2 linked regions of the Schizosaccharomyces pombe genome follow. Changing the gene in region 1 together with any one later gene gives a genetic interaction. Each region holds a gene or a part of one and is shown on either strand. Other genes may lie near its edges.

Region 1 (4,725 bases):
ACAATTCGTCAATGTCTTCGACTCTTTCTATCGGCGGTAATCCACTACTAACCGGCTCATTACCATTCAGAAATGGTACTGGTGACGCCAAATAACCTTGGTCTGAACGAGTTGCATTTTCAAGCTTTCTTGTCAACATGATCGACCTACATGAGCGAGCATCAATTGTTTCCATTTTCTGATCCATTGAGTCAAGTCGCTGCTCCATAGAGTCAAATCGTTGGTCAATAGAATTAAATCGCTGCTCTATTGACTGAAACCTTGCTTCAGTTTTTTGTTCGAGTAAATCAATTCTAGTGTTCAAACGGATCGTTTCCCTTTTCATTTCAACCATTTCAACTTTCATTTCGGCCATTTCGCCTTTCATAGATGTCATCTCATTCTGCATAGCGTCAAACCGAGAATTCATGTCATTTTGCATTGAGTCCATTTTAGAAAATATTCGTTCGAAAATTCCACCTAGTTTAGTGTTTGCCCATTCATCTATCCAGCGTGGAAATTGTACTTCTCCCGATTGTTCTTCAGAAATTTCCCTTTCAATCGCTAACTTTTTCCATCCTTGTAGCCTTTCATTGCATTCAATTTCATATTTCATTTTACGATCTCATTCCTCAATATATTTTTTTCAAGTGCTTCTCTTTTGTTTTCGTCAATTTCTAACAATGTAGAATCTACAGATCTCTCGTATCTTTCAATGAAAATTTTTAAATCTTCCGCAGAATCATTTGGTGGTGGCAGATTGTAGTCATTATCAAAATTCTCGTTCGACATCATCCTTATTATTTATACAAAACCAGTTGCAATAAACCGCAGTATTCTTTTTAACGATAAAATTTCAATTCACTATAACTATACAAATGATATCTTTTGTAGCCTGCCTTATATGTTTACTAATTGACAAATATTTCTCAGAAAGGGAAATCTTGGAAAATAAAAGTACAAACGTGTGTTGAAAGCAATATTTAATATATGTGTTGTAAGTAAATTCAAATCTCTCAAGTTCCCCTTATATACAACTTTAAACAAAGAATGCTAAGGACAAAGAAAAGAGTTTTTGATGGATTAAGAAACAAGGTAACCTAAGTAACTTCACACTGGGAGTACGTGATACAGATAATGAAAATGGGCTTTATCTGTAAAATAAAAGAAAAATGGCTTATTTGCAGGTAACTTATTACAAAGTTAGATTTATTGAATAGAGGAGTATTTGTTTAAAAACAAACTTCGATTGCAAACATGCATAACAAAGTTAATAGAAAAACATTTCTTTATCCTGCTTTATTGTATTCCTCTTAAGGGATTCTCAACAGCTCTAAATAATCACGAAATATTTAAAGAAAAGGTATATTACTCATTCAAGCTATTAATTGTAAATAATATAACCCATAGCTACAACAAATGCGTTAAGAGGATATAATGTTAGCTACGCAAGTATTTAATTTAACGATACGTAGAACTACGGTGTTTTCCTAGTGATCTATTATATTGTAATTCGCAAGTAATATATAAGTAGCAATTGAGATTGGTATTCTAATATATGGGTTATATTGTTGAATAGATGAATGAGCAAATACAAGACTTGAAAAGTCCTTCAATGATATATTTCTGGTATAGAGTGTTGGCGAAACGACATGAATTCTGAGTTTGACGCTACGCAGAATGAGATTGCATCCATTAAGTTGAAATAACTACTATGAAAGGTGAAATGACTATCATTGGCAGAAAATGAACATTAGTTTTATACGTTGACATTCTTACGGCACTTTTTATTTACAATTTTGCTTACTACTAGTCATCCCGTTTTAACTTTGTTCTTAGGAGTTAATTTATTTTACTTTATTCATTTATTTTTTTATTTTTTTTGAAACTCGTATTATCGTTCAATTTCAGAACATCTTTACTGCTTTGCCTGCCCGGTTGACAAATAAATACGATTTCAAACGAACAATTAGTTTATTATATAATTTTTTACGTAAGTATATGCCATAGTTTATAGTAATACAAGGGAAGCAAAAACAAAGTCTCAATGCGGTGAGTAGTATATAGTAATTCCTGCTTCAGACAAGTCATTAAAACACACATTTGCACTCCGTACACATTTCTCAACACGCCGAATAGTTTCTTTTCATAATCCCCAACATATAACATCACAAGATTTCGTCTAGCATTCTTACCAAAACTCGTACTGTAAATGTTACAGTGAGTGATAGCCGTTAGCTAAGATGACCTGCTGAGACTAAACAAAATCATGAGAAAACGAATAATGTATTTTATATACCTAATATTTAAGAGGGAATCTTGGAGAAAACTGGGTAGTTTGAGAATAATAAATGTTCTTTTCCATCTTTACAAATGAGACGAAGATTTTTGCTCTACCCAAACTAATTAATCTGTTGTTTCAAAATCATTTTAAGTATAGGCTATAATGTAAAACATTGATATTATACAAGAAGTATTTATTACTTATGCTTATGATTTCGTTTGCGATGCTAACAGCAGTGTGTCGTAAGAAACTCACCATCAGCATAAAACAAGATGGCTTTGACTCCAGACACTGTTTCTTCAAAGTTGGCTACTCTAAATGAAACACAAGAAAGTATAACGGGAATAGCGCATTGGGTTATGTTTCACAAGCGTTATGCTGATGAAATTGTCCAAATATGGCTGGAAGCTTTGTATGAATGTATGACTCCTTTAGGAATTTGTTCGATTGTCTAACTAATTTAACCAGCTTCTTCCAACAAAAAGCTTTTATTGCTTTACCTGCTCAACGAAGTCGTTCAACAATCCCGGGTCAAAAAAATATCTGAATATATTGATGCCGTTTCTCCAGTAAGTTACTATCATTATGAGCTTGGAACATCTCCTATATGGTTTAGATTCTAATAATATTTGCATAGTATGTCGTAAACTCTGTAGCTGACGCGTACGCGTCAGTTCCTGCTTCCATTAAAACAAAAATCAAATACGTTTTTGACGTTTGGTGTCAACGCGGCATATTTTCTAAGGAGATACTTTTATCCTTGCAGGAAAGGTTTAATAATGCCGAGAACAGTGGCCATTCTAACTATTACCCCGTTGGCCCTCCGGAATGGGTATGCCGCAATTCAAATAAAATATCAGAACTTTACTAATTGCATAGGCACCTTACACTCGTTTAATGACACAAACTAGTTTATACGCAAAATCTGCTCACTCTACCAAAACTGTGGTAGATGCATTGTATAAATCATACTTGGAGAAACAATCAGATTATTCTGAACTACTCGATAATTATAAAAAGCAACTAAATAAAGCCTCTGAATCATGTAAAGGTAATTATCAGGCTTGCATCGAATCCCGATCCACACTCATTACTTCCTTGGAATCGCTTATAGAAGAACAAAAAAAGCTACTTTCAGAGGAAGAAGAGAGCCTAAAATCTGTTGAATCCATAATTTCTAATTTAGAGAATAAGGAAAGTACAACAGCTACCTCTACCTTGACCGATGCAGGTTTTGGAGATAAAAGTTCTACTGCTGGCAAACATAATGTAGAAACAACATCACCTCCGTCTAGTTCTCCAAACAGTGATGATGCTTATTCTCCTCAAGTAGATTCTTACTCTCCAAGCATTAACAGCGTACCATATACTTCCAATATTGTCGAAAATCCATCTGAAGACAATCTCTCTCCTCTTCCTCCTCCTGCCAGTGGACCCTATTCCCAAGAAGAAGAAGAAACATCATTATTTAAAAGCCAGAGAAAAGAAGAAAATGAAGAGGAATCTAAAGAATTACCAGAAGACTCAGATATCTATGGAAAAGATAGTTCTCCCTCTTCGGACGACTCTAGTGCAGCTGGTCTATATGGTGATAGCTGAAATCCATGAAATGTAATGCTTAGTTTTCATTATTTTTCTTTTTTTTTTTAAACTGTCAATCAATGTGGCAGTCTTAGTCAATAAGCATTTTTAGAATACCTATCCTAACCTTTTATATGCGTCAGTACCTGACTTCATCCTATCGAAGCCGTTTTTGGAATTTTGTATATTTCGAAGAAAGTTGAGCCCTATCTAGGAAGAATGGGCTTTTAATGTCTGAAAAAAAACATTCTTGCGAAGAAAAATCGCTGCAACTATATCCTCTTTCAAATAAAATTCGTCATGTAAATCCGAATATTTCAGCTCTTCCGTCTGAGACTGATATATCTGAATCATTGACGAACGATTTAACTAAACTAGAAATTTCTAACTATGCTCCATTTAATAGAGATTTAGAGACTTTTTCCGATTTAATTTTTGGCTTAACTAATATACAAAAAAAATCATTGTATTCTCTTCAATTAGGCAGAAGTAGAGGATATGCTTTATATTCAGACGAGAATGAGAAATATTTGTGGTCTATAAATACTAAAATCACCTCTACGGAACAAAGGGAAGTACTGCTTGTCAAATCTAATAATAAGAAGTTTGATACTTCCATCGTCCTAAAACATACTCACTTATCATCCAAGTCTCAAAACGAAAAAAAAGCTAGAGTAAAAGTATTTCGGCAAGAAATTTGGGCCCTCAAAACTTTGTCGCATCCATGTGTTGTGCAGCTATTAAATTACTACGTTTCCTCCGCCGAATTAATACTCGTAGAGAATTATTGTATGGGAGGAGATCTCTATCATTACACTAAAAAACATCATTCGGATTTCAGCCTTGAATTTGTTGGGCGAATTTTTTCTGAGTTAGTACAT
Region 2 (4,973 bases), on another chromosome or scaffold:
CCTCAAATTCTTCCCAATCAGTTGCAGAATTACGAACGACTGCAACGTTCGACGATACCAATGACACAACTGGGAAATAAACAGAATTGATATCGCTTACGTACAGAATTAGTTCAATTAAGCTCAAAATTCGGCGTAGAGAAAGTCCTTTGAGGAGGCAAAATGGGTATGGCAAGATGATGTGTATTGATGTAATCCTTAAGTGCTGGGGTGTACTATATATACAGTGCAAAGGGTATGGGTAAAGTAAATAAACGATTTCTCAATAACAACAAATAAAGCATATTTATTGTTGTTTAATTTTTTTCGTCTTGAAAAAGAAAACAGAATTGGAAAATTGCTAAGGCACCATAAACAGATAAAGTATAACGTTTTAGTTCATACCCACTAGCGTTGGTAACTAAAACTTACACAAATTTTATATTTTTTGCTTTATTTTTTTTATCTTCATATTGTTAACATGGCGTTTCGTGCTGCAAGAATTGCTTTCGCTTGGAAGGCAACCAATCCTGCTAATACAACAATTCGTCAATATATAAAAGAAACACTGGAAGAAGCACCTGAGAAAATCAGTCAAACTGTCAAAAAAGCAACTGGTAAGGCTTCGAAAAAGATAGATGAAAACAAAGATAAGTCACCACAGGAAATGGCTGAGAATGCAAAGCAATCGGTAAAGCAAACTGCCAAGGATGCAAAAGATACCGACTATCAGCAAAAGGCGAAAGATGCTGGTAAGAAAATAAAAGAGGAATTTAGCCAACGGTCGGAAAACGTACTCGAAGAAACTCGTCGTGAGGGGATGAATCGTGATGGTGGTGTTAAAAAGGAATAAAGAGGATTCCTTGTAAATGAATCGAGTTAATGTATTGAGTGGAAGCTTGTATACAAGCTCCTTGATGCTCTTTATGATTTTAAAGATGCTTCACGTTTGAAAACATCGCTTTCTTTTTGGATTTATATGAACGAACAATGCATGATTTACAAAACGAAGCTAGAAGATTGTTAATAAACTAAAAATCATAGTTCAACGGTTCCTGGCTTTTATTTACAAAATAAATTCAATTTTTGATGATAGCAAAAAAAAAAAATTTCATGATTTAAATAAGAATGAGATTATCGCGAGATGTGTTAATTATATTCCGGTTGTATAGTCTGGTATTCGTGGCAGTGATACTGCATATTTTGCATTGCCGATGCTAGCCTTAGTATGGACTTGACTGTATGTAAAAACTTTATGGCCCACATGCTGTCAACAGCTACTATGGTCAAATTTAAATTTTGTTATTCTATAGGCCGGATAGTTGTATAAAGGCATTGTAATGGATAATGGTAATAATACTCATTTTGGTCAAACACATTCATGCCATTCTACTCCAGTAAATTCAATGCCGCTCGTTGTAAGCATAGCGATAAATCCCAAAGGCTGTTCAAAGCAATAATTTCAAATTTGTATTGCAACTTGCCAACATTTTTAAAGTAAATAAATTCCGTTATTGTACAGTGACATTCTCATGTTATATACGCTCTACAGTCAATAACATAATATCATTCACCAACATGATAGTACTCGATTGTATTATATTTTACTAGTCTTGAAGCAAGAATAGCCATAGCCCTTGGGTTTTTGAAGTTGCCAAGATTTCGGCTCAGAATGAAATGCCCAAGCTAAGATTTCCGAAGGTTTTTTCAAATTTTCAATATTTACTGCATTTACTCCCTCCACAAAATCTGGTTTATACGAGAAGATGTGACTGCTAAAATGATCATTATGCTATAAAAAACCCCATTTGTCGTTTACAATGCTTTACATTCGTTTTTATCCACACTATTCACAAGCCTGTGTCACGGTTTATGTAATTGGCTTGGGGAACGTGTTGGAAAGAATAAAACCGCTGTATACTTCATACGGAACGCAATTATTACTTTTCGTTCTGCAATAAATCAGTGGAATATCGTGTTGGTTTTTTTACATATAGTTTTATTTTGATGTATTTAGTAAACACTCTATTTGTTAATTGAATATAAGTTAAATTATTAAAAGATATTTAGTATAAGTACAAATTTTAGTAATTGCATTAAAATGGTTATATTTATCGTGTTTCATTATCTAAACTGCTTTGTATAGGTTTTCGTTTGATTTTTTGTAAATTAATGGTGGTAGTTTTGGCTCCGTAAGGTAGAACGTTTTCTTCAGCTTCATCCAATTCACGTAACCCACTAGTTACCTGCAACACCATATCACTAGAAAACGTGGCCGAAACTTCTCTTTTTCCATTTGTATATATAAATGCATTTTTAATTTCTTTATCTTTTTATTGTCTGCACAATAAAGCGTTCATTCTTTCCGTTTTTTTTGAAAACTATTTTTCGTCATGACTCTTTCCTCTAACCAGTATCAGTACGTTCAGCGTTATTTCGTTTATGTCTCTTTCTAACTTCTGTTTATTAGATTGCCTCTTAATGTCCGCCCGTATACAACGACTTGGTGTTCCCAGTCTCCTTCCTGTTCAAATCTTCTTGCCATAGGTATGTAAGATATCTGAATGTTACGACGAATGGTAATTTACGTATTACTCATTTCTTCTTTTCTGTTTTCCTAAGTTACAATATTTGAGAAAACCTCAGTGCTAATGAAACAATTATCTTCAAATAGCATTCCTCTAAACGTTTTAAACTAATGATTAACCTTATACAGGCCATGATACGGGTATCACTATTTATTGTGCTTCAGAAGAACAGACGCCCGGATCTACAGGTTTGACATTACAAGAGTTGTTCACTATTCAAACTGGGTTACCCACTTTGCATCTTTCTTTTTCATCTAGCTGTAGTTATTCTGAGAATTTGCATGATGGCGATGGAAATGTGAATTCCTCACCTGTGTATTCTTTGTTTCTTGCATGTGTGTGTCAGGATAATACAGTTCGTCTAATAATTACAAAGAATGAAACCATTATTACTCAACATGTGTTGGGCGGAAAATCTGGGCATCATAATTTTGTGAATGATATCGATATTGCAGACGTCTATTCCGCTGATAATCGTCTCGCTGAGCAGGTGATAGCATCTGTGGGCGACGATTGTACGTTGATTATATGGAGACTGACTGATGAAGGGCCTATTTTAGCTGGATACCCATTGTCTTCCCCTGGTATTAGTGTCCAATTTCGCCCATCTAATCCTAATCAATTGATTGTTGGAGAAAGGAATGGTAATATTAGGATTTTTGACTGGACTTTGAATTTATCAGCTGAAGAAAATTCTCAAACCGAGTTGGTTAAAAATCCATGGCTTTTGACTTTGAATACCCTGCCACTCGTTAACACCTGTCATAGTAGCGGCATTGCTTCCTCTTTAGCTAACGTTCGATGGATCGGAAGTGATGGAAGCGGTATACTTGCAATGTGTAAAAGTGGGGCTTGGCTTCGTTGGAATCTTTTTGCTAATAACGATTACAATGAAATCTCGGATTCCACTATGAAATTGGGACCCAAAAATCTACTGCCCAACGTGCAAGGCATTTCATTGTTCCCATCCTTGCTTGGTGCTTGCCCACATCCCCGTTACATGGATTACTTTGCTACGGCACATTCTCAGCACGGCTTAATACAGCTCATTAATACATATGAAAAGGACTCGAATTCAATTCCTATTCAATTAGGTATGCCCATCGTTGACTTTTGCTGGCACCAAGATGGATCACATCTTGCTATAGCTACGGAAGGATCTGTTTTGCTTACCAGATTGATGGGGTTTACGAGATTATGAGGGTATAGAACAATATACTTAACATCGAACTAAAATAAACGGGTTCAGGAGAGGAAATTGTATTGAATAAATATTAATGTTCATAGTTAAACCAAAAAGTAGTATTTGCTATGTATTAACATCGTGTAAACGCTGTTACTTTTAAAAATTTTAAATGGATGTGTTGCTTTCGTAAACAATTCGCCTTGGTTCAAATATCGCCTTTGATATTTCAACTTCCAATAACCGATATGCGATTTGAATTGAATCTTCTAAATGTTCGTTACAATGATAAAACCCATTATTTTTGAGCATAATATTTTTCCAGAATCATGGATGCCAGTTTTTCGAAAGATGGATTGTGTAGCCGCTGTTGCTGAATAGCATCTAAGGTTTTCAGAGGAACAGAACCCTCTTCCTCACGGTCAAGGTTCACTAATTCTTTCATTATATGTAAAAGCTCGGCATTACTTTCAATTAAATTTTTTATGCTAGGATCTTCGACAATAGATTCCAAAAGACTTTCACTTGGCAATGCCTCTTCTGCTAAACTTGGGATTCTTCCATTAACGTAGATAACATTAGGAGAAGGTTCTGGGGGGTTTAAAGGTTCTTTAACTCCTTTGAATGTTGTTGTGTTATTGTCATTTACAGTCTCACATTGACTTTGGTGGATTTTCCAGCAAGGTAATGAACAACTATTAATTCTATATTAGTATTTTTAGGAAACAGAAAAAAAGAATAAAGCATTGGTTCATGGGTTAATGTGTATTGAAACAAAATGCATTGTTCTGAGCTTACAAGCACATACTAAGGAAATGAACACTTCGGGCATTTATATTTTATTTCTGATTCGTTGCATATTGAACAAGTTGTCATGATAGCGTTTAAATTTTTCTAATGTATTAGAGGAGAAACCTTTTTTTTTAGACAAGCTCAAACAAAATAAGATTAAAGGGAGAAGAGCAATAGAGTAACGTCAAACCTTGCTAGTTCAAAATACAGTTAACACTGAATAAAAAGGCTCTGGTTTTTCCCTCTTTTGTGATATGTTCGAAAGCTATGGTAAACAGTAAAATAATATTTTTTTGAATATTCTCAATATAAACTATCTCTGCATCTCTAGCGAGTACATTTTTTTAGATTAGCATGGTGGATTTACTTATCGTTACCCCTCACTATATAAAGCTTTTTAATGATTTTCTGGTTACGAATTTTAGTGACTT

What was found. Genes that interact genetically often act in the same process or in processes that back each other up.
Region 2: mutations in rhn1 (region 1) and nup37 together harm fitness more than expected from each alone (negative genetic interaction), as found in Schizosaccharomyces pombe (2 studies listed by BioGRID).

The regions. Positions count from the first base shown.
Region 1 is NC_003423.3:1,033,003-1,037,727, forward strand, and holds rhn1 (RNA polymerase II transcription termination factor), read left to right. Parts: upstream 1-2,519; 5' UTR 2,520-2,535; coding exon 2,536-2,683; exon of another isoform or gene 2,684-2,731; coding exon 2,732-2,832; exon of another isoform or gene 2,833-2,900; coding exon 2,901-3,095; intron 3,096-3,142; coding exon 3,143-3,862; downstream 3,863-4,725. Other genes in the region: serine/threonine protein kinase Ppk27, read left to right, coding at 4,075-4,725.
Region 2 is NC_003424.3:4,868,128-4,873,100, forward strand, and holds nup37 (nucleoporin), read left to right. Parts: upstream 1-2,216; 5' UTR 2,217-2,372; coding exon 2,373-2,398; exon of another isoform or gene 2,399-2,449; coding exon 2,450-2,526; exon of another isoform or gene 2,527-2,599; intron 2,600-2,695; coding exon 2,696-3,768; 3' UTR 3,769-3,899; downstream 3,900-4,973. Other genes in the region: SPOM_SPAC4F10.17 (uncharacterized protein), read left to right, coding at 461-832; hit1 (HIT zinc finger domain-containing protein), read right to left, coding at 4,049-4,445, 4,559-4,626.